2 linked regions of the Macaca mulatta genome follow. The protein of the gene in region 1 purifies or fractionates together with the protein of each later gene. This does not show direct contact. Links are inferred from orthologs where the notes say so. Each region holds a gene or a part of one and is shown in the gene's direction. Other genes may lie near its edges.

Region 1 (11,514 bases):
CATCTTTGCAGCAACATATCAGTGTATTATAACAAACTATCTCTGTATTTTTTAAAACAGCTTAACTGAGATATAGCCCATCTACCATGCAATTTACTCATTTAAAATATACCATTCAGTGGTTTTGTTTTGTTTTTATTTTTTTGTGATGGAGTCTCACTCTGTCACCCAGGCTAGAGTGCAGTGGCATGATCTCGGCTCACTGCAACCTCTGCCTCCCGGGTTCAAGTGATTTTCCTGCCTCAGCCTCCCGAGTAGCTGGGGTTATAGATGTATGCCACCAAGACCAGCTAATTTTTGTATTTTTTAGTAGAGATTGGGTTTCATCATGTTGGCCAGGCTAGTCTTGAACTCCTGGCTACAAGCGATCCTTCTGCCTTGGCCTCCCAAAGTGTTGGGATTACAGGCATGAGCCACCACACCTAGCCTTTTTGTTCTTTATGCTTGTGTTGAAGATATGTTTACTATTTTGCAAAGAGTTGCAGAAGTAAATGCAAGAGTCACTGTTTCTGTTAAGGACATTTAGGAAATGTATATTATCAGTGAGGAAATAACATGCCTAAATTTTTAGCCAGGGTAGTAAACATCTTATCTTATCCCAGAAAGTCATCAACTTCCTTTAGTACTGATTCACTAGGTCATTGATTATAGAGATGAATGTGAACTTCAGGTTTCTCCTTTTCGATAATACCTTCTATATATTTTTCAACTATGTTAGTGCTACATGATTTAATTGATTTTGCATGCCTAATGCTTCTCTACCTGTTTCTCAGTGTCTTTGTTTGCCTATTCTTTCTCCTTAAGATTGCAAACTCCTTGATTCAAAGTCCATATCTTCTTTCTTTTGAGTATCTCAGAGTCTAGTATAATGTTTTCCAGTTAATGGGTATACAGTGATGTGCTGCTACTAAGAAAGGTTTTCCAGACAATAGTATTTGATTTTTTTTTTTTTCCGAGACGGAGTCTCACTCTGTCGCCCAGGCTGGAGTGCAGTGGCACAATCTTGGCTCACTGCAACCTCTGCCTCCTGGGTTCAAGCGATTCTTCTGCCTTAGCCTCACAAGTAACTGGGACTACAGGCGTGTGCCGCCACGCCCAGCTAATTTTGTATTTTTAGTAGAGACGGGGTTTCACCATATTGGCCAGGCTGGTCTCGAACTCCTGACCTCGTGATTTGCCCTCCTTGTCCTCCCAAAGTGCTGGGATTACAAGCGTGAGCCACGGGGTCCGCTGTATTTGATTTTTAAAGGTATTGTGGGGGTGGGGGCTTTGCTTATGACATGATGGGTGTAGCCTATGCCTTGGACTTAAATAGACACTTAGTGGCTATTGGTTTCTGCTCGATGGCTCCAGGCCCCATGGGATTTCAAGTCGGGAGATATTCCTCAGATTTGATGTCAACAAAAAGAAAGCCAAATCCATTTTGTCTTGGCCTATTTTTATTATTCTTACATTTTAGCTTCAGAGAGGATACTGAAACTTTTATAATGAAGGCAACAAAGTCTTTCATTATTCAGGTAAAGAAGGACAGATCTTAAATGTGTTACAGACTGTCTTTTTTTTCCTCCCTGCCAACCCCACTTACTGATGAAGCAGCATTTTAAAAAGTCATGTGAGGTTAGGCACAGTGACTCACACCTGTAATCCCAGCACTTTTTGGGGCTGAGGTGGGCGTATCACTTGAGTCCAGGAGTTCCAGACCAGCCTGGCCAACATGGCAAAAACCCATCTCTACTAAAAATACAAAAATTAGCCAGGTGTGGTGGCGCATGCCTGTAATCCTAGATACTCGGGAGGCTGAGGCAGGAGGGTGGCTTGAACCCACGAGGCAGAGGTTGCAGTGAGCCGTGACCGTGCCACGGCACTCCAGCTTGGACGACAGAGCGAGACTCTGTCTCAAAAAAGTAAAATAAAATAAAAGGTCATGTGAGTTAGTGGTTAAGTAGATGACCCATTGAAATTATTACACTGTGTCATTTCTCTGAAGCTTGCTTTTAATGAGAAGTTTTTAAGCCTAGTGTTTCTCAAACTTTAGAGTGCGCTTAACTCCCCGAAGGAGTTGGTGAAAATGTAAACGCTGATTCAGTAGAACTAACTGGGACCTAAACTTCTGCATTTCAATAAGGTTCCAGCTTTTGCTGCCCCCAGAGTAGCAAGGCATCGGGTTTTATATGGAAGACAGATGGGGTTGCTTCACGGTTTCGGTTCTTGTCCTTGCCAGTTTGAGTTTGTATTTCTCTTTGATCTGTCCAGGTTTGGTCGCTGGCTACGGTAGCTACAGATCTTTGCCTTGGTCCGAAATCTGACCCAGATTTGGAAACACCCTGGGCTCGACATCCATTTGGGCGGCAGCTGCTGGAGTCCCTGTAGGTTATGAGAGCTAAAAGTGAGAAAAATGAGTGATGTCCGTTTTTGGTCTGTGAACACTTGAAATGTCATCACCTAAGAGAAAGGTGCAGAGGCCCGAGGAATGAAAGGAAGGAGTAGGATCTTTCCTTTCAGTGCTGAAATAATTTCTGTGCAGAACAAACTTCTTACAGCAGACAGAACTATACAATACTTGTCATTTATGACAAGGATTTGAGACCCCTGAGACTCATGTATCCTTTAGAGATTCATGCGTTAGTCCACAGATCACGTCAGTCTGAACACAGGAGTTTGAGCTCATGATATGGTAAGTTTCTTCTTGAAAGCTCTAGGGTCTCACCTTTGAGAACTGTGTGTTGGTGTTCATGTTTGCCAGAGACCACGACACTTTCACCCTGTTAGGCAATTCGAGAAAACACTGCCTTTGTGTTCAGTTTATTGCACTGACATGTGGCAAACTGGAATATACTATACAATATAATTTAACACGAAGTAAAACCATTTGAATCTCCATAACTTGGAGGCCCAGGGCCTGGGGAGAGAAACGCTCCTGCCTTCAGGTTGAGGTTTTATTTATGCATTAAGGCCACCCCTGGGACACGTGTTCATGCTTCCGTTTCCTTGTCGCTAACATAGGGATGATAAGGTTTGCTCTACCTACTTCGTGTAAGACTCAAATAAGATAGTGAGTGTGAAAACACAAATATTAGACATTGAGTGATAGGAAGACAGTAATATTATTCATTCTTAAAGGCAAAGCCCCTCTGATTCCTTACTCACATTCTAGCCTAATCTTCCTGAAAGGACAAAGGGGATATGAGTACCTAAAGAGTAGAAACACTCCTTGTTGTTCTTACCTAATAGCTCATCTTCATAACTGCACCTCCAAAGTCGATTGCCTGCTAGCATACTGTGGTGGTCCAGTGTCCTCTGGGCTCCTCCATGTAGCTTTAGGTTATATAAATGGCATGTATGGGAATCCCCCAAAAGCAGTGTGATTCTTCCTTGGAGCTGGGAGGACAGAGAGCGTGTATTGGCTCGTTCAGATGTCAGGTTAGTCCACTTAATTCTTGGAGAAGCCAATTCATGTTTAAGCCCATGCCTGAGTGTTAGCCAGAGGCTTTGAGATGCGTTCTGTAGATCATTTGTAATACGTCGATGTCTTATATTCCAAAACAAGTTTAGGCAAACTCAAAGTAGGTCAAACCACTGGATCTGTAGAAAGCCCTCATTCCTGACGGTTTTTGAGGCCAAATCAAGAATCCTCGCATCCCACCCCGTGACAGTAACACGCCATGACTGTGATCGTGTTCCCCCTCAGTCCCTCCTCCTGACTTGTCTTCTTTCCTCTCACCTTTTCCTCAGGTTGGCTCACTATTGCCGGCTCCGGGATGTCCAGACACTGGCAATGCTCTGTAGCGTGTTCGAAGCCCAGTCTCGGCCTCAGGGGATACCAAACCCCTTTGGGCCTTTTCCCAACCGTTCTTCTAATCTTGTGGTGTCCCATAGTCGATATGTAAGTTTGTCCTTTTCTGGTTTTGTCTGATTTTTTTTTTTTTTAGATGGAGTTTTACTCTATTGTCCAGGCTGGAGTGCAGTGGCACGATCTCAGCTCACTGCAACCTCTGCCTCCTGGGTTCAAACAATTCTCGTGCCTCAGCCTCCTGAATAGCTGGGATTACAGGCATGCACCACCAATCCCAGTATATTTTTGTATTTTTAGTAGAGATGAGGTTTCACCATGTTGAGCAGGCTGGTCTCGATCCCCTGACCTCAGGTGTTCTGCCTTCCTTGGCCTCCCAAAGTGCTAGGATTACAGGCATGAGCCACCGCGCTTGGCCTGCTGTTTTCTTAATGTGAACTGTCATGGGGAACAGTATTCTGATGCTAGTCCTGTTGGTTCTTCTCTTTCCATCTGTAGCCTAGCTTTACCTCTTCCGGTTCGTGCTCCAGTATGTCAGACCCAGGGCTCAGCACTGGCGGCTGGAACATAGGTTTGTATGGAAATGACTTAGCCCACGCCGGATTTTTAGTTCTCTGATAGCTGTGCATATGTAAGCTTTAGTTGATGCTTAGTCTCCATATTTTTTCTTGTTTCTTATTTCTCTTTACATGTACTGTGATAGGGATCCTCTTGCTGGAGGCCTGGCTTTGCAGGTTGAACAGGCCACGTTCTGGGGGTCTTTGTGCCTTTTGCTGTATTGCTTTTCATCTCATAACCTTGAGAAACTGACAATGGGACTTCCCGCTGTTCACCCCCAAAATCCAACCCTTATCCTTTCTCCTTCACATGCCCTTTCCATGTTCATCTGCCGCCTACTCCTTCCCACAAACGCTTTCAGTGTAGACAAATACAGCTGGATCTGACTCCAGCTGATCATAAAGCTATTTGCGGAGTAGGTGTATTTGTATTTCCTGGAATTTTTTTAAGAAACAGTTTTTTAAAATGATCTTAATTTTCCTGATTTCAAAAGTAGCTCATGCCCAGTGAAGAAAAGCAAACACGAAGTATTAGAGAAGAAAATTGTAATCGTTGATCTCCCACCTAGGAATAGCGTCCATTAACGTTCTAGAACATTTCCATCCATTCTTTGTGTGCAGGAGTGTGGTCATTCCATATATGTGACTTTGTGTTCTATTTTTTATTAAATCATGAGCAAATATTGTTCAAAAAGTCTTTGTAAATAATGACTACATAACATTCCACTATATCTCTGTGCCATCATTTGCTTTATTTATTTATTTAGTTAGTTAGTTTTTTGAGATGGAGTCTTGCTGTGTTGCCCAGGCTGGAGTGCAATGGCGTGATCTTGACCCACTGCACCCTCCACCTCCCAGGTTCAAGCAATTCTCCTGCCTCAGCCTCCCGAGTAGCTGGGATTACAGTCACGTGCTAGTATGCCCAGCTAATTTTTGTATTTTTTTTTTTTTAGTAGAGATGGGTTTCACCATGTTCGTCAGGCTGGTCTCAAACCTCTGACTTCAGGTGATCTGCCCGCCTCGGCCTCCCAAAGTGCTGGGATTCCAGGCATGAGCCACCATGCCCAGCCCATCATTTGCTTTAGCATCATGTGTGTGTACTTAGCTATCAGGTTCTCTTAGTAATAAATACCTGGGCAAAAAGGTAAGGGTAGGAAAGAGTTCTGTTTAGTTACATTTCTCAGAGTATTCAGCCTCACTTACTTTTCTTCTGGGAAATCCATTGGCCACACGCGGTCTTATGAGACTTCAGATATTTTCCATGCCTTCTCTGATTGCCATCTTCCCTTCGCATTTGATTTTCTTTAGCGGGGAGAGAGGTAGAGCACTTGTCCTCCCCCTGGGGAGAATCCTCACCGGAAGAGCTCCGCTTTGGGAGTCTGACCTGCAGTGATCCCCGGGAGCGGGAACGCGACCAGCATGATAAAAATAAAAGGTAACCACCCTCCCAGGTGAGAGCTGCGATGCCAGGACTCCAGTTTCTCCACAATCACAACTCTTGCGCCTTTTTTTTTTTTTTTTTTTTTTGGACACAGAGTCTTACTCTGTCGCCAGGTTGGAGTGCAGTGGCGGAATCTCAGCTCACTGCAACCTCTGCTTCCCAGGCTCAAGTGATTCTCCTGCCTCAGCCTCCTGAGTAGCTGGGATTACAGGCACATGCCACCATGCCCAGCTAATTTTTTGTATTTTTAGTAGAGACAGAGTTTCACCATGTTGGCCAGGCTGGTCTCAAACTCCTGACCTCAAGTGATCTGCCAGCCTCGGCCTCCAAAAGTGCGGGGAGTGACAGGTGTGAGCCACCGTGCCTGGCCAGGACTGTTGCTTTAAGAAGGGCATGTTAAGTGCCATTTAGGATCAAGCTCATTTTTTCTTAAAGGAACTGACAGGAAATCTTTTTCACTTTCTCTAGGCTCCTGGACCCCGCCAACACCCAGCAATTTGATGACTTTAAGAAATGCTATGGGGAAATCCTCTACCGTTGGGGTCTGAGAGAGAAGCGAGCCGAAGTGTTGAAGTTTGTCTCCTGTCCTCCTGACCCTCACAAAGGGATCGGTGAGTATGCATTTCTCTCTCTCTTCCTATCACTGTCTGAAAGATCCTGTAATTTAATTTGTCCACAGCATCAGACTTGGAATGAAGTTTCAGCTTCTCATTTCTAAGCAGAAATTTCAAAGGCATTTTGAGTCCATTCCAAGCTTCTGAAAAGCCCTTGCATTTCATAACAGGATGAAATCTTTTTTTTTTTTTTTTTGGGATGGAGTCTCACTCTTGTCGCCCAGGCTGGAGTGCAGTGGTGCGATCTCGGCTCACGGCAACCTTTGCCTCCCGGGTTCAAACTTCTCCTCCCTCAGCCTCCCAAGTAGCTGGGATTATAGGTGCCTGCTATCATGCCCAGCTAAATTTTTGTACTTTTAGTAGAGATGAAGTTTCACCATGTTGGCCAGGCTGGTCTCGAACTCCTGACCTCAGGTGATATGCCTGCCTCGGCCTCCCAGATTGCTGGGATTACAGGTGTGAGCCATGGCGCCTGGTCCAGGATGAAATTTCTATTGCAATAGAAGTAGTTTATATACAGTACTCCAGCGTGGATCAGAGGGATGGATATTTCTTCATTTATTCCTCTATGTGTCCAACTCCTCTTAGGCACAGTGCCCACACATTCCTTCCCTGCATGGAGCTTACAACTGAGTGGGGGGGGATATTAAATAATTTCAAATAAATATTCACAAGCAAACAAAAACGATGTGGGGGCAGGGAGAACAGAGAGGGAGAATCTTAAGAGAGGAATTGAGGTGTGTTAGGAAGGCCTCCAAGGAGCTGCGGTCTGAAGGTTTAAAGGAACCATGGAGCCATCAGTGCAGAGTGGTGAAAAGAGCGTCCCACACTGAGGGTCAGGCCCCAGGGAAATGACTGTCGTTGTGAACAAGCGAAGGAAGGTGGCGTGGTGTGGCTGGAGTACAGTGGGGAGAAGAGCGGTATCAAATTAGAGTGTAGAGTACTTAGGATTGTGTCAGGCAGGGGCTTGTAAGTTGCAGTAAAGAATTCGGATTCAGCCAGACATGGTGACTCACGCCTGTAATCCCAGCACTTTGGGAGGCCAAGTCCGGCAGATCACTTGAGGCCAGGGGTTTGAGACTAGCCTGGCCAACATGGTGAAACCCCGTCTCTACTAAAAATACAAAATTAGCCAGGCATGGTGGCGCACACCAATAATCCCAGCTACTTGGGAGGCTGAGGCAGGAGAATCGCTTGAACCCAGGAGGCAGAGGTTGCAGTGAACCGAGATCATGCCATTGCACTCCAGCCTGAGTGACAGAGTGAGACTCCATCTCAAAAAAAAGAAAGCAAAAAACAACAACAAAAAAGAAACAGTTAAATGAATGGAAAAGATTTCATCTAGGGAGTGATGAGGTGGGCAGTGGCAGGGAATGCTGGGTTTTGTAATAAGATGCGTAGAATGATTTGACTCTCTTAAATTGTGTAGGTATAGTTTCTTTTCCTTTCTTTTCTTTTCTTTTTTTTGTTTTTGAGACAGAGTGTGTCTCTGTTGCCCAGGCTGGAGTGCAGTCACGCGATCTCGGCTCACTGCAACCTCTGCCTCCCAAGTGCAAGCGATTTTCATGCCTCAGCCTCCCAAGTAGCTGGGACTACAGGCGCCCGCCACCATGCCACTTGTATTTTTAGTAGAGACACTAAAATACAATACAATTAATAGGAATTTTTAGTTGAGATAGTAAAATACAATACAAATACCACTTGTATTTTTGGTAGAGACGGGGTTTCGCCATGTTGTCCAGGCTGGTCTTGAACTACTGGCCTCAAATGATGCGTCCGCCTCGGCCTCCTAGAGTGCTGGGAGTACAGATGTGAGACACCATACTTTCTATTTGAAGAAACAAACTAGAGTAATATGTAGGTTTAGGTAGTGAATTTCAAGGATTATTTTAACAGAGATTATGTTGGTATGTGTACCTGAAGAAATGTAAAGACACAAAATGCTATGTGGGCAACATTTTTTCAGAGCATCTAAATGTATGAAAGTATCTCAGGAAAAGATTAATGATGGCCTGGAGCAATTTGTCTTTTAAAAATTAGTTTTCAGGAAAACATGAATCATGGAGATACAGAGCTGATGTATCAGCCCATCAGTTAGCTAAACCCTTATTGACATCTGCTTTTATAAAGTGTCATGCTGGATTCTGTGGGATGTACAAAGAAATAAAAAGTGTGGTTTGGCGGGTCAAGATGTCTGTAGTGCAGTCAGAGAGTCTGAAATACAAACTCAGGAAGACTTAATGGTAGTTAAGGATGAATAATGTATCCTAACTTCAATAAAAGCAATGTCACAAGGTTTATAAAGCAGGGCAGGATTGTAAAAGATGGACTCACAGACAAAAGCAGTAAAAGAAGTATTTTCTTTTCTTTCTCTTTTTTTTTTTTTTTTTTTGAGATGGAGTCTCGCTCTGTCGCCCAGGCTGGAGTGCAATGGAACAATCTCGGGTCACTGCAACCTCCACCTCCTTGATCATCCCATATCCACAGACTTCAGCATAGCAAATTTGAGGGACAAAGTTAGTTTCATTGGGATTCAGTATTTACAGATGGGGCTCATGGTTTCATTCATTTTATGGGGATACTGTTAAATAGAGTATTCCCTTAAAGAAAGTCTCAGGATATAAGATGATGTTTTTGTTTTTGTTTCTGATTGTGGTATGTGATGTGCTTGGTCTTAATGGTGGCAGAGCAAAGCGATTGCTTTCCCAGCCTCCTCATGGGGAGAATTCCCTCCCTAGAGGCACAGAGCTGCTCACCTAAATTTCGTTCAGCAGTTTATTGGTTCAGTATATTAATTTAACGTCTTATTTCTTTGGCCAGTTTTATTTACTTTTGTGTAATAGGTGATGTTGATTAATACACAAGACTTTTTGTTGTATGGTTGACAAACTGGAGCCATATGATCCTGCACCTTTGGAATTCGCTTCCTCCTGGAAGTTTTGAAAAGCCTTGGAATCATGCTTTGATTGTTCTATGTGCTGGGAGTATTTTTATGGTCTTTGTTAGTTTGTCTGTTAGGACCCAAGAATGATTCATTTCATCCCTATCAAGTTTCACTGGCAAAACCTATCCTGTCGTCCTGTGCCTCTTACCTGTGATCCTCAGGGTAGTCAGTGTTTCTGGCCTGTCAGGAAATGACATCTGTACTTTGTACAAGGCTGGGATTCCCTAAGCCAAAGAAGTTTCCTGGGAGGACTTGTGGGCTGCATGTCCACATATGAAGCAATCTCCTCCCCTTCATAATGACTTATCATACCTAGTTTATTTTATTTATTTATTTATTTATTTTTTTGAGATGGAGGCTTGCTCTTTCGCCCAGGCTGGAGTGCGGTGGCGCAATCTCGGCTCACTGCAAGCTCCGCCTGCCGGGTTTACGCCATTCTCCTGCCTCAGCCTCCCGAGTAGCTGGGACTAGAGGCGCCCGCCACCATGCCCGGCTAATTTTTTTGTATTTTTAGTAGAGACAGCCTTTCACCATGTGAGCCAGGATGGTCTCAATCTCCTGACCTCGGGATCCGCCAGCCTCGGCCTCCCAGAGTGCTAGGATTACAGACGTGAGCAACCGTGCCTGGCCGTATCATACCTAATTTAAATGAGATTTGAATCTAAATGTGATGTTTTGGGCATGACCTTGGCTGTAAATTTGATCTATCCATGTATATCGTGATAAGGAGGAGGGCAGCTTCTTTTATTTTTTATTTTTTAAATTGTTATAAAATAGAGACAGAGTCTCACTATGTCGTCCATTGTGGTCTCAAATTCTTGGGTTCAAGTGATCCTTCCATCTCAGCCTCCCAGCATGCTGGGATTAGGAGCATGAGCCGCCACACCCAGCCCCAGCAGACTCACTGAACCTGTATAAATATTTTGTCATGGAAAGAAAAGGCCTTTGTGTGGTACTTACCCATTGTTCTGAGCACTTCTGCAGATGAGGTTAATCAACATATGATATTTCCTATGGAATTATTGTTCTAAGGTTTCCTAATGATTTGGTATCTTGTAGTCTCTATTAAGATCTTTTTTGGATTTTTTTTCCTCCTGAAGGTAATTGGAATAAGATACCATTGTCAGAGTGTTTCATTTCAATGTTTATCATGTGTTAAACTGAGGGGTAGAGATGGAGCAAAAAAAAGGAAAGAATGTTTTCTCCTTTCTAGTAGAAAATAGATCATTAGCCAGAATTAAATTTTTCCATCAGTTGTATTCAGTCTCTGCTAAGTAATTCTTGTTCTAATTATCTTGGAATCTCTACCCATCTGCTTTCACTAAAGTCATCTGCTTCTGAACCAAAAAGTCCTAGAAATCCTGATCCATTCCACAGCCTGACAAGTGTCTCCTGGTGGCAATGGTGTTTGGCTTGTTTGTTTTTTGAGACAGAGTCTCACTCTGTCACCCAGGCTGCAGTGCAGAGGCATGACCACAGCTCACTGCAGCCTCGACCTGCTGGGCTCAACAACCCTCTCACCACAGTCTCCCGAGTAGCTGGGACCACAGGCATACACCATCATGCCCGGCTAATTTTTTAGAAAATGTTTTTGTAGAGATGGGGTCTCGCCATGTTGCCCAGGCTGGTCTCAAACTCCTGGGCTCAAGTGATACCCCTACCTCGGCCTCGCAAAGTGCTGGGATTACAGGCATGAGAAACTGCTTCTGGCTGGTGTCAGCTTATTTGGAAAGTTGGTATTCAGGAATCTTCAGTAATATCAGTAGTGAAGAGTACCTTTATTAGTGCCTAAAGAGGCTTTATTTTGACATGTCTTCTATAAGTTTCTATTTCTGACCTATTGTTTATAGCAGGTGACTTTAGGCAAGTGTGAGGCAAAAGCAGAAACTGGCAGTTGGCAATAATGCGAAATGGCTCTGGCTAGTTTATGATAACAGTATCGTATGGAGCAGAAAAACACGTAATCATTTCTTAAGGATTCAGTTAGTGATTCCCCAACACTAAAATATTTTGGACTCTGAGGATATTGACAAATCTCCAGGCTCTTTTAATTCATCCCGTAAAATGTTTGTAAGGTTACTGCCAAACGAAAGGAGTACTCTATTTTCTTTTTAGTTTTGTTTTCTTTTTTCGTGGAGGGGGTGCTGTGGGGGGAACAAGGTCTCTCT
Region 2 (11,514 bases), on another chromosome or scaffold:
CAGGGTTACAGGTGTGAGCCACACCCCCTAAGCCCCCTAAATCTTTACAGGCCTTGCCGCCTTCTCATCATTTAAATAACAGCTCAAAGACCACCTCCTCAATGACTTTTCCTGTCTAGTTACACTAAAATATTGCACACTCTCCCTCCCCATCATACAGTTACTGGATTATTTCACTCACTTTATAGAATCTGTGCTTTGAAATCCTATTTATCAGATTCTGAATTTTATGAAGGCCGAGGGCTTTGTCTTTTTATTGCTGCTTGCAATGTAGCCATCAAAAATATTTGTTGAGTGAACAAATTAATTCTGTTTCCACCTAGAAAGCACTTAGCATAGTGCCTTATACTTGAGAAAGTGATCAATAAATGGTGTAAACAATGGTCCTCACCCTAGCTGTTATGCTGAGGCCCCACCCCAGACAACTGAATTAGAATTGTGGGAGGTGGGACCTTGGCGTTGTTTTTGTAAAGCTTCTCAAAGGATTCTGATGTACTGCTTGGGTTGAGAAGCCCTTGTTTGATACAGTAAGGAAGTTAATGATACCTAACGTTTATTAAGTGCTTATTGTGATGGAGGTATTGAGGTAAGCTACACAGTGTTATCTCATGAAATCCTCATCACTAGCCAGTGAAAGTAGGTACTATTATCCCCATTATTTGGTAAGGAAACTGAGGCTCATAAAGCTAAGGGATAGCAGGTGGTGGAGCTGTCATTTGAGCTCATACAATTTGTGTCAAGAGCCCCATCTTTTTTTTTTCTTTTTTTTTTTTGAGACAGGGTCTTGCCTGTTGCTCAGGCTAGAATGCCGTGGTACGATCATAGCTTGCTGTAACCTCAAACTCCTGGGCTCAGGCAATCCTCCTGTCTCAGCAGCCTCCTGAGTAGCTGGGATTACAGGTTGTGTGCCACCATGCCCAGCTAATGTACTATTTGTAGAGACAGGGGTCTCACTGTGTTGGCCAGGCTGGTCTCAAATTCCTGGCCTCAAGGGATCCTCCTGCCTCAGCCTCCCAAGGTGCTGGAATGAGCTGCTGTGTCAGCCAAGGGCCCCTATCTTTTTTTTTTTTTTTTTTTGAGACAGAGTCTCGCTCTGCCGCCCAGGCTGGAGTGCAGTGGCCGGATCTCAGCTCACTGCAAGCTCCGCCTCCTGGGTTTACGCCATTCTCCTGCCTCAGCCTCCTGAGTAGCTGGGACTACAGGCGCCCGCCACCTCGCCAGGCTAGTTTTTTGTATTTTTTAGTAGAGACGGGGTTTCACCGTGTTAGCCAGGATGGTCTTAATCTCCTGACCTCATGATCCGCCCGTCTCGGCCTCCCAAAGTGCTGGGATTACAGGCTTGAGCCACCGCGCCCAGCCGGGCCCCTATCTTTTAACTGCACTGTATATTGTTGTTATTGCTGAAAATGTTGATGGATCGAGACCCATGTCTTAGAGCTCCTTCTTTTGACAATTCCTGGGTCAGATTTTGGAGTGAGTTGGGATTCCCAAGGCTATTCCTGTCCTTCCCTAGCACCCCTGATGGGCCCTCTCTGCCTCCCCCAGTTCTGCTCCACCCTACCCTGCTGTGGCTTGCTGTTCTGTCCTCAGGTCCCCTGAGGTGGAGGCCCAGTTTGTGGAGTCAGCAATCCTTATCTCCTTTACAGAGCTGTGGGGCTTTTTCTTTGGTGAGGGGGGAGGGAAGCTCCAAAGGGGAGTGTTTAGGGATTGTGGTGGTTACTACGCTGAACTTGGACCAGCCTGGCCGGGAAGTTCCCAGAAGTGTGGGCCTGCACAGTCAGCTCAACTCTCTTTTTGAAGGTAGCGGGGCTACTTTACCTACCAGGATTAAGGCCTAGAGAGTTTAGGCCTTTAACTTTCCCAGAGCCACATAGCAAGTTAGTTGCAGAATTGGTACCTACTCCAGAGACTTTGTAGTCTTCTGGAGTCCCAGAGCTCTGCCTCCTCACTGGGCTTTTGGCCATCTGAGAAGGAAGGTTCAATTTTAGTTTTTAGTTCCCAGATACGTGAGGGCTGGTACTAAGTCTACATCTTAATGGGGAGGGGAGAACTGGGCGCCTCCTATCCCTGTCCAGTGAGGGCATGGCTCTGATTTGGGTAAACTGTAACCAAGGCCAGTGCTGAGAGCCGCTTCCACTCTCAGATTAACAAAATAAATGAATACGTAGAGCATCCTTCCTGAACCCCATCTCTAGGACTAGGAGAAGCAGATGTAGTGAGTACATGATTTTAGTGGTTTCTAAAGAGGCTCCAGCATATACAGGTCAAAATGGTTGCTTCCATCAGCCTTGGACACCCTGCTTGGATTCCCTCCATGCCTTTCGGCTTTCTCTGTCTTCATTCACAGGCTAGTATGAATGGCCTGGCACTGCTGTCCACTAAATGTGATCTGGTAGCAGGGAAACAAAACAGACAATTTGATGACAGTGTTTTTAGAAGCAAAAACCCTGGGAATTTTGGGGTCATAGGTGAGGGGTTCCTAGATGCCATGGTTTAGCTTTGCAAAAGGAGTGACCAGTAGGACTGGGCCAGTAATTTTATCTGGAAGCCCATGGGAAGGGGAGGTAGGATTTTAAGTCAGCTGATCAGATTTATATTCAGAAAGTTAATGTGGCTACTGGGTAGAGGATGGATAGGAAAGGCCAGGGCTGAGGAGGCCGGAGGACAACTGGTGAGGCTCTGAGTAGTGGTCCAGACAAGAGAGGGTGTTAGTTGATGAGGTGTTGGTGGTGGGAGGACAGATAAGCAGCCAGGCATGATGGCTCTCATCTGTAATCCCAGTGCTTTGGGAGGCCAAGGCAGGAGGATCCATTGAGCCCAGCAGTTTGAGGCTATAGTAAGCTATGACTGCATCACTAAAGAAGAAGGGGCCAGTTGCAGTGGCTCATTCCTGTAATCCCAGCACTTTGGGTGGCTGAGGTGGGCGGATCACCTGAGGTCGGGGGTTTGAGACCAGCCTGGCCAACATGGAGAAACCCTGTCTCTACTAAAAATAAAAAATTATGGCCGGGCACGGTGGCTCAAGCCTGTAATCCCAGCACTTTCGGAGGCCGAGACGGGCGGATCACAAGATCAGGAGGTCGAGACCATCCTGGCTAACACGGTGAAACCCCGTCTCTACTAAAAAAATACACAAAAACTAGCTGGGCTAGGTGGCGGGCGCCTGTAGTCCCAGCTAATGTAGTCCCAGCTACTCGGGAGGCTGAGGCAGGAGAATGGCATAAACCCGGGAAGCGGAGCTTGCAGTGAGCTGAGATCCGGCCACTGCACTCCAGCCTGGGCGACAGAGCGAGACTCTGTCTCAAAATAAATAAATAAATAAATAAAAATAATAAAAATAAAAATAAAAAATTAGGCGAGGGCAGTGGCGCATGCCTGTAATCCCAGCTACTTGGGAGGCGGAGGCAGGAGAATCGCTTGACCCAGGAGGTAGAGATTGCAGTGAGCCAAGATCACGCCATCGCACTCCAGCCTGGGCAACAAGAGCGATACTCCGTCTCAAAAAAAAAAAAACAGAAGAAGAAGAAAGAAATGAATGAACATGTGAGAGAAATTGAAGCTGCTTCTGAGGCATCTGGGGTACTTGGCTACCTGGCTTCGGGGTGCAAACTGTGGGGTGTTCTTGTTTTTTTTTTTTTTTTTTTTTTGAGACGGAGTCTCGCTCTGTCGCCCAGGCTGGAGTGCAGTGGCGCGATCTCGGCTCACTGCAAGCTCCGCCTCCCGGGTTCACGCCATTCTCCTGCCTCAGCCTCCTGAGTAGCTGGGACTACAGGCGCCCGCCACCGCGCCCGGCTAATTTTTTGTATTTTTAGTAGAGACGGGGTTTCACTGTGGTCTCGATCTCCTGACCTTGTGATCCGCCCGCCTCGGCCTCCCAAAGTGCTGGGATTACAGGCGTGAGCCACCGCGCCCGGCCTGGGGTGTTCTTGTATAAGTTCTCTGGGACCACTGAGAAGGTGGCCTCCTGGAGATGTGCAGCATGGTGGCTATATAGTTCCTTCTCCAGGACCCTCCCATCCCACATGCTGGGATTCCTGGGTCCCAGCCCAGTTCCTGAAGAACTCAGCCTGGAGTGAGCCCTCTTTCTTGCTTACCCTTCCAAACGTGCATTTATCTCCCACCTGGCTCCGCCATCCAAAGGATGCTAGAAAGGTGGGTTTAACAGTTCAGTGGAGCCCCTTGGATAGGAGGAAGAAGCTGGATAGGTAATAATCCTCTTTATTCTCCCTTCTACTGCGGACTGACCTCCATGTGTTCCCCCCAGGAGCAGAGGGAGAGTCGGGCTCGGCGAGGCCCTCGAGGGCCCAGCGCCTTCATCCCCGTGGAGGAGGTAAGCTTGGAAGGGATTAGGGATCTTTTTTCCCTAGGAAGAAAGGACATGGCATATTGGTGGGCAGGCGTCTTTTCTTGTTCCTTAAATTACAGCTTTTAAACTATTCCTTTCTGATTTCTGATTCATTTAATTCACAAAACGGCTCTGTGAAGCAGGCACTATGAACTTCATTTTACTGGGAAGAAACAGGCTGAAAGAAATCAAGTGCTAATAGCCAGGTAGTGGCCAAACTTTTTTTTTTTTTTGCATGGCCAAACTTTCGATTCCTAGATCAGTGCCTGTTTCCCTTAAGAAGATAGAACTATCTGTGTTTATCTTCTCATCCGTGACTGTACATGTTCTTTTCTGTTTCAAAAGTAATATATGTTTATTATTTTTAAAATTTCCATTGTTTCAGAAAGCTCTGATCTCCTGTATCTTCCTACACCCTCCAGAGATTATCACTGTTAACCATTTGCCACTGTTTACTGTGCTTTGTTCAAGCCAATACTTACTTTCAGTACAGAACCAAGGTGATAGTTTACAACTTGTTTTTTTTTGTTTTTCACTTAATACAAGAAAGACATCCTTCATCTACTGAGTCAGTTCATTCATTCATTTACTTAACATATCTATTGAATGATTAATCTGTGTGAGGCACTGTTCTGGTTGCTTGGGATACAGCAGTGAACAAGACAAAAATCTTTGCCATTATGGAGCTTATATTCTAGTGTGTTGGGATAGCGGAGGTACCTTCAAAACATGCAGAAAAAGGTAAAACTAGTTTCCTCATTTTCTTTGGCCTTCAGTGAACAAGGACAAATTTTTTGTTTCACTGGGCGCGGTGGCTCACGCCTGTAATCCCAGCACTTTGGGGGGCCGAGGCGGGCAGATCACGAGGTCAGGAGATCGAGACCATCCTGGCTAACACAGTGAAACCTCATCTCTGCCAAAAATACAAAAAATTAGCCAGGCGTGGTGGTGGGCACCTGTAATCCCAGCTACTTGGGAGGCTGAGGCAGGAGAATGGCGTGAACCCGGGAGGCAGAGCTTGCAGTGAGCCGAGATTGCACCACTGCACTTCAGCCTGGGCAACAGAGTGAGACTCAGTCTCAAAAAAGAAAAATTTTGTTTCCTCTCCTCTTTGCTTTCCCTGAATGTGTAGGGCGAGTAGTTAATGAGGTAACAAACGTTTAACCTCCCTCTAAACCCCCCTGTTCCTCCACTCCTTGGTAAATGTAAGGTGAACAACCACTTGCTGATTATTTATGTCTGTGGCCCATAATTCCAAGCTCAGGTATTGCTCTTGTGTTTTATTTTTTCATTTATAAATGACCACTCTTTTTTTTTTCTTTTTTTTGAGACGAAGTTTCGTTCTTGTTGCCCAGGCTGGAGTGCAGTGGCGCGATCTCGGCTCACCGCAACCTCTGCCTCCCAGGTTCAAGCAATTCTCCTGCCTCAGCCTTCTGAGCAGCTGGGATTACAGGCATGCGCCACCACGCCCAGCTAATTTTGTATTTTTAGTAGAGATAGGGTTTCTCCATGTTAATCAGGCTGGTCTCGAACTCTGGACCTTGGGCGATCTGCCCATCTCTGCCTCCCAGTGTCCTGGGATTACAGGTGTGAGCCACCGTGCCTGGTCCACTCTTTTATAATAAAGAAAAGAAACAGGCAGCCAGGTGCAGTAGCTCACACCTGTAATCCCAGCACTTTGGGACGCCAAGGTAGAGGGATCACTTGAGCCCAGGAGTTCGAGACCAGCCTGGACAACATAGTGGGACTCTGTCTGTATTTAAAAAAGAAGAACCAAATAGGCTTTGGAGTTCATCTGAATTTGAATCTGATTCTGTCATTTGTAAGATCTGTGACTTTGAGCAAGGAACAAAACGTCCTGGTTTCCTCATCTGGCAAAGTGGGGGAAATAATAGTATTCACCTCACAGGCTTATTGGCAAGATCCCATGACATCATGCAGAGAAAACCGTAAGCTCAGAGATGGCATGGAGACAGCACTCAGGAAATGTGAACTATTTTGCACCCGCCCCCATGGTTATATGCATTTGCGGTGTTAGAATAGACGCTCCTGCCGGGCGCGGTGGCTCACACCTGTAATCCCAGCACTTTGGGAAGCTGAGGCAGGTGGATCACAAGATCAAGAGATCGAGACCATCTTGGCTAACACGGTGAAACCCCATCACTACTAAAAATACAAAAAATTAGCCAGGTGTGGCGATGTGTGCCTGTAGTCCCAGCTGCTGGGGAGGCTGAGGCAGGAGAATGGTGTGAACCTGGGAGGCAGAGCTTGCAGTGAGCCAAGATTGCACCACTGCACTCCAGCCTGGGTGACAAAATGAGACTCTATCTCAAAAAAAAAAAAAAAGAAAAAATAGATGCTCCATGAAGGGAGGAGAAACCGTACTTTTACTCTCTGTACCCGAGTTTTCCTACCTAAAAATGGAGAAACAGAACTCCAGTTTTGTTGTTGTGAGAGTTAAATAAGTTAAAATATGCATGCTTGAACAGTACTTGGCACATAGCATCGTATGTGTAAGTACTGGCCGTTATTATATGAGGTACGTAACAAGTATTCATTGAGTGACTTATTAAAATATCTGATTCTTCCCATTGTTTCTTTTTGGACATGGTGGTGGTTTTTACTTTCTTGCCATTAGAAACCCACTGGAATAATACGCTGGTCTCTTTGATGAGTGGGGCAGGAGGGAAACCCATGCTGTCCTCCCCTTTGCTTGGCAGGTCCTTCGGGAGGGGACCGAGAGCCTCGAGCAGCACCTGGGGCTGGAGGCACTGATGTCCTCTGGGCGAGTGGACAACCTGGCAGTGGTGATGGGCCTGCACCCTGACTACTTTACCAGCTTCTGGCGCCTGCACTACCTGCTGCTGCACACGGATGGTCCCTTGGCCAGCTCCTGGCGCCACTACATTGCCATCATGGTGAGCCTCTCTGGGCCTGACACTTGGAGAGGTGGCTTTGTGGAGGGTTCTGTCCTTTGATCTCTTTTCTGGGAGCTTTGTGAACTGATTCCATAGACAAGGAGGGAAGGCGGCATAGAGCAGGGAAAGCCCTGGCTTTCTATAACTGTAGAGTTTTTGGTTTTTTCTTGGAAGGAAAATTTTAGGTTTTGAAGAAAGGCATCATTAGTGCTTGCAAACTGAGGTGCAAAAAGGAATCAGGTGGCCTGCAAGCTGGTGGCAGAGCTGGGGTTACTTAGAACTTAGGTTTCCTGCCTCTTGGGCAACAGTGAGCCCTACAACCTCTCCCCTGATGGGGTACCCACCCTGAGCCAGGCACCAAGGGAGGAGGGTGACTCAGGCTCTGTCCACTACCTCCGCAGGCTGCCGCCCGCCATCAGTGTTCTTACCTGGTAGGCTCCCACATGGCCGAGTTTCTGCAGACCGGTGGTGACCCTGAGTGGCTGCTGGGCCTCCACCGGGTGCCCAAGAAGCTGCGCAAGCTCAGCGAGATCAACAAGTTGCTGGCGCATCGGCCATGGCTCATCACCAAGGAGCACATCCAGGTGCAGGGGGCAGAGAGACGGGTGTCTGAGGGAGCACAGAGGCCTGGCTGGTGCCTGGTGGGTAGCCCAGGGCAGGCACTGAGCAGCTCTAACCTCCCGTTCTGTCCCCTCCAGGCCTTGCTGAAGACCGGCGAGCACACCTGGTCCCTGGCCGAGCTCATTCAGGCTCTGGTCCTGCTCACCCACTGCCACTCGCTCTCGTCCTTTGTGTTTGGCTGTGGCATCCTCCCTGAGGGGGATGCAGATGGCAGCCCTGCCCCCCAGGCACCTACACCCCCCAGTGAGCAGAGCAGTCCCCCGAGCAGGGACCCGTTGAACAACTCTGGGGTAAGTCATGGGCCTGGGTCTTGATCGGGGAGGAAGCAGGCATGACCTCTGGTCCTTAGGTAGAAGCTACTGCTTCCCAATCTTTGGTGCCTGCACTACCTGCTGCTGTGAGAGACCATAGAAAAGTTATTTGACTTTGAAGCTCAGTTTCCTCATCTGTGAAATGGGGAGATAAGACCCTCTACTCACACTGGGCTGTGAGGCTCAAAGGCTGTTGGTTTTAGCACTTTCAAACTACAAAGTTTACCTTTCACTGAATAATGTGGCCTTGTTTGTTTTAATACAAAAATACAGACACTTTAAAAATTTCCTCTCAGGGAAGTTGTGTCTATTCTGTAGCTTCATAAATGTCACTTTAGGAAGCACAGACCCATGCGCTGTCCAGCACAGTGGCTGGCACAGGGGATGCCCTAGGCCTTTGTGAGCATTAGGAAGGCCTGGCCTGTGGGAAGGATGTGTGGAGCTTCCCAGAGGCCGAAGGAGGAGGAGTAGCTGGTCACCACTGGCCCTCTCCTGCAGGGCTTTGAGTCTGCCCGTGAAGTGGAGGCACTGATGGAGCGCATGCGGCAGCTGCAGGAGAGCCTGCTGCGGGATGAGGGGACGTCCCAGGAGGAGATGGAGAGCCGCTTTGAGCTGGAGAAGTCAGAGAGCCTGCTGGTGACCCCCTCAGGTACAGGATCACAGGCATCCAGGCTCCTGGGGCTGCTCCTTCTTAGGCTATCTCTGGTCAGGAGGAGCTGCCTCCTGTGTTCTAGAGGCAGCCGCTTCTCAGCTTCCCGTCCAAGAGGTTCTGAGCCTGGGCCTTGAGCTCAGACCTTGCTTTGAATCCTGAACTGCTAGCCTTTCTGGCTGTGCGACCACTGACGAGTCACTTCCTATCTCAGGGCTTCAGGATTGCTATGTGGGGTTAGTGGGGCAGTAGAAGCAAAGATCTTAGCACAGAGCCTGGCCCAGGGGGAACCAATCCATAAATAACTTCCACTTAAGTTATTGTTACCAGGGGCCTCACTTCACGGGTCCATGGGCCTGATCCACCCCCTCCACAAGGCCGGGCTCCAGCTGAGGTCTTGCCCACTCACTATAGCAAGGGGCTTTTTTGGCCCTCTATTCTGCCTTCCCCTCCCCCGTTTGGTGATTAATCAGGAGTGGACGCCTGCATGCCCCATGCCCCAGCCTCACTGTGACCTCTTTCTGGTCCTCAGCTGACATCCTGGAGCCCTCTCCACACCCAGACATGCTGTGCTTTGTGGAAGATCCTACTTTTGGATATGAGGACTTCACCCGGAGAGGGGCTCAGGCGCCCCCAACCTTCCGGGCCCAGGTGGGGCTCTCTCTACTACTCTTGGCCATTGCTCCACATTTACGAACATGCAGTGGGTGGATAGTTTGAGTAGTTATAGAGTTAGGTACCCAGCTGGGCATGGTAGCTCACACCTGTAATCCCAGCACTTTGGGAAGCCAGGGTGGGAGGATTGCTTGAGCCCAGGAGCTTGAGACTAGCCTGGACAACATGGCGAAACCCCGTCCCTACAAAGACATTTAAAAATTAGCTGGAAGGTGGTGCATGCCTATAGTCCCAGCTACTTGAATGGCTGAGGTGGGAGGATCACTTGAGCTAGGAGGTCAAGGACGCAGTGAGCTGTGATTGCACTACTGCGCTCCAGCCTGGGTGACAGCAAGACCCTGTCTCAAAAAAAAAAAAAATAGAGTTGGGTACGTTATTTCCCTCAAGATTCCACGAGGGCAGTGGGGTCCCTGTGAATCCTTAAGGAACCCATCTATACCCTAAGCTCAGGGGTTGGTGATCGTAAGGAGAAGGTCATCACCAAAGTGTACCTTCCTTGACATCTGAGGCCCAGAGCAAGCAGCACATTAGGTTTATGGCACCAGGAAGGAGAACTATGGAGATCCAAGGTACAGAGGAAGGGGGTCTCTCTGGCTGGTCTTGGGCTCCAAAGACTCACCAATCCCTTCCCACCTACCTAAGGATTATACTTGGGAAGACCATGGCTACTCACTGATCCAGCGGCTCTACCCTGAGGGTGGGCAGCTGCTGGACGAGAAGTTCCAGGCAGCCTATAGCCTCACCTACAATACCATCGCCATGCACAGCGGGGTGGACACCTCCGTGCTCCGCAGGGCCATCTGGAACTACATCCACTGCGTCTTTGGTATCAGGTGAGCCCATGTCCCTTCACCTGGGGCACATGTGCACTGCGAGTCTTCATTCCGGGTTCACGGTTGTTTCCGTTTTCGTTTTGTTTTTGTTTTTTTTCTTTTCCTTTCTTCTTGCCTATACTATTTTTCAAATCAAATTGTGATTTTGAAAGATGATAGTACTCATTGTTTGAACGTTGTAAATGAAACTCTTTAATTGCACTCCCAGAGGTAACTATTGTTTGATATGTATGTACATATATATACACACACACACGTATATACACATATACATACATATACACATACACACTATATATATATATGTAGAGAGAGTTGTGTTTGTATTTCCATTCCAAGTAGTAATTCTTCTCTCATAATAAATAAGGATAACATAAATGCTCAGTAGGGGACTTTAAATAATGATACATCTATTCAGTGAAATATTATGCAGCTATTACAAATTACAATAGGCCGGGCGCAGTGGCTCACGCTTGTAATCCCAGCACTTTGGGAAGCCAAGGCAGGCAGGTCATGAGATTAGGAGTTCGAGACCAGCCTGACCAACATGGTGAAACCCTGTTCTACTAAAAAATACAAAAATTAGCTGGGTGTGGTGGTACGCATTTGTAATCCCAGCTACTCAAGAGGCTGAGGCAGGAGAATCGCTTGAACCCAGGAGGCAGAGGCTAAAGTAAGCCAGGATCGCGCCACTGCACTCCTCCAGCCTGGGTGACAGAGCAAGACTCTGTCTCAAAAAAAAAAAAAAAAAATTACAATAGAGGCCAGGCTTGGTGGCTCATGCCTGTAATCCCGCACTTTGGGAGGGCATTGTGAAAGGATTGCTTGAGAAACAGGAGTTCAAGACTAGCCTGGGCAACATAATGCAACCTCCATCTCTACAAAAAATTAAAACATTTGCCTGTGTGGTGGCATGCACCTATAGTCTCAGCTACTTGGAAGGCTGAGGTGGGAGGATCTCTTGAGCTCAGGAGGTCAAAGCTTCAATGAGCCATCATTATACCACTGTACTTCAGTCTGGACGACAGAGCAAGACCCTGTCTCAAAAAAAAAAAAAAAATAGATGTCTATTTGTATTTCCGTGGGAAAATATTCAGATTGTATTGAGAGAAAAGAAAGCTAATTACCAACAGAAATCTTCTTTATGTTCTTTTGTATATTA

Evidence for each region.
Region 2: the proteins of WDR59 (region 1) and SESN2 purify together in Homo sapiens (affinity purification with western blotting; 4 studies listed by BioGRID and IntAct, with this or other methods). This does not show direct contact. The link is inferred for Macaca mulatta from reciprocal best matches to the Homo sapiens genes WDR59 and SESN2.

What each region holds. Positions count from the first base shown.
Region 1 is NC_133425.1:70,195,307-70,206,820, reverse strand, and holds part of WDR59 (GATOR2 complex protein WDR59), read left to right. Parts: intron 1-2,253; coding exon 2,254-2,366; intron 2,367-3,732; coding exon 3,733-3,883; exon of another isoform or gene 3,884-3,947; intron 3,948-4,244; exon of another isoform or gene 4,245-4,288; coding exon 4,289-4,361; coding exon of another isoform or gene 4,362-4,365; intron 4,366-5,655; coding exon 5,656-5,782; intron 5,783-6,256; coding exon 6,257-6,399; exon of another isoform or gene 6,400-6,632; intron 6,633-11,514. UniProt on the Homo sapiens protein: As a component of the GATOR2 complex, functions as an activator of the amino acid-sensing branch of the mTORC1 signaling pathway. The GATOR2 complex indirectly activates mTORC1 through the inhibition of the GATOR1 subcomplex.
Region 2 is NC_133406.1:212,661,348-212,672,861, reverse strand, and holds part of SESN2 (sestrin-2), read left to right. Parts: intron 1-4,264; coding exon 4,265-4,330; intron 4,331-7,028; exon of another isoform or gene 7,029-7,065; coding exon 7,066-7,263; intron 7,264-7,664; coding exon 7,665-7,847; intron 7,848-7,961; coding exon 7,962-8,174; intron 8,175-8,693; coding exon 8,694-8,844; intron 8,845-9,376; coding exon 9,377-9,495; intron 9,496-10,161; coding exon 10,162-10,352; exon of another isoform or gene 10,353-10,784; intron 10,785-11,384; exon of another isoform or gene 11,385-11,514. UniProt on the Homo sapiens protein: Functions as an intracellular leucine sensor that negatively regulates the mTORC1 signaling pathway through the GATOR complex. In absence of leucine, binds the GATOR subcomplex GATOR2 and prevents mTORC1 signaling.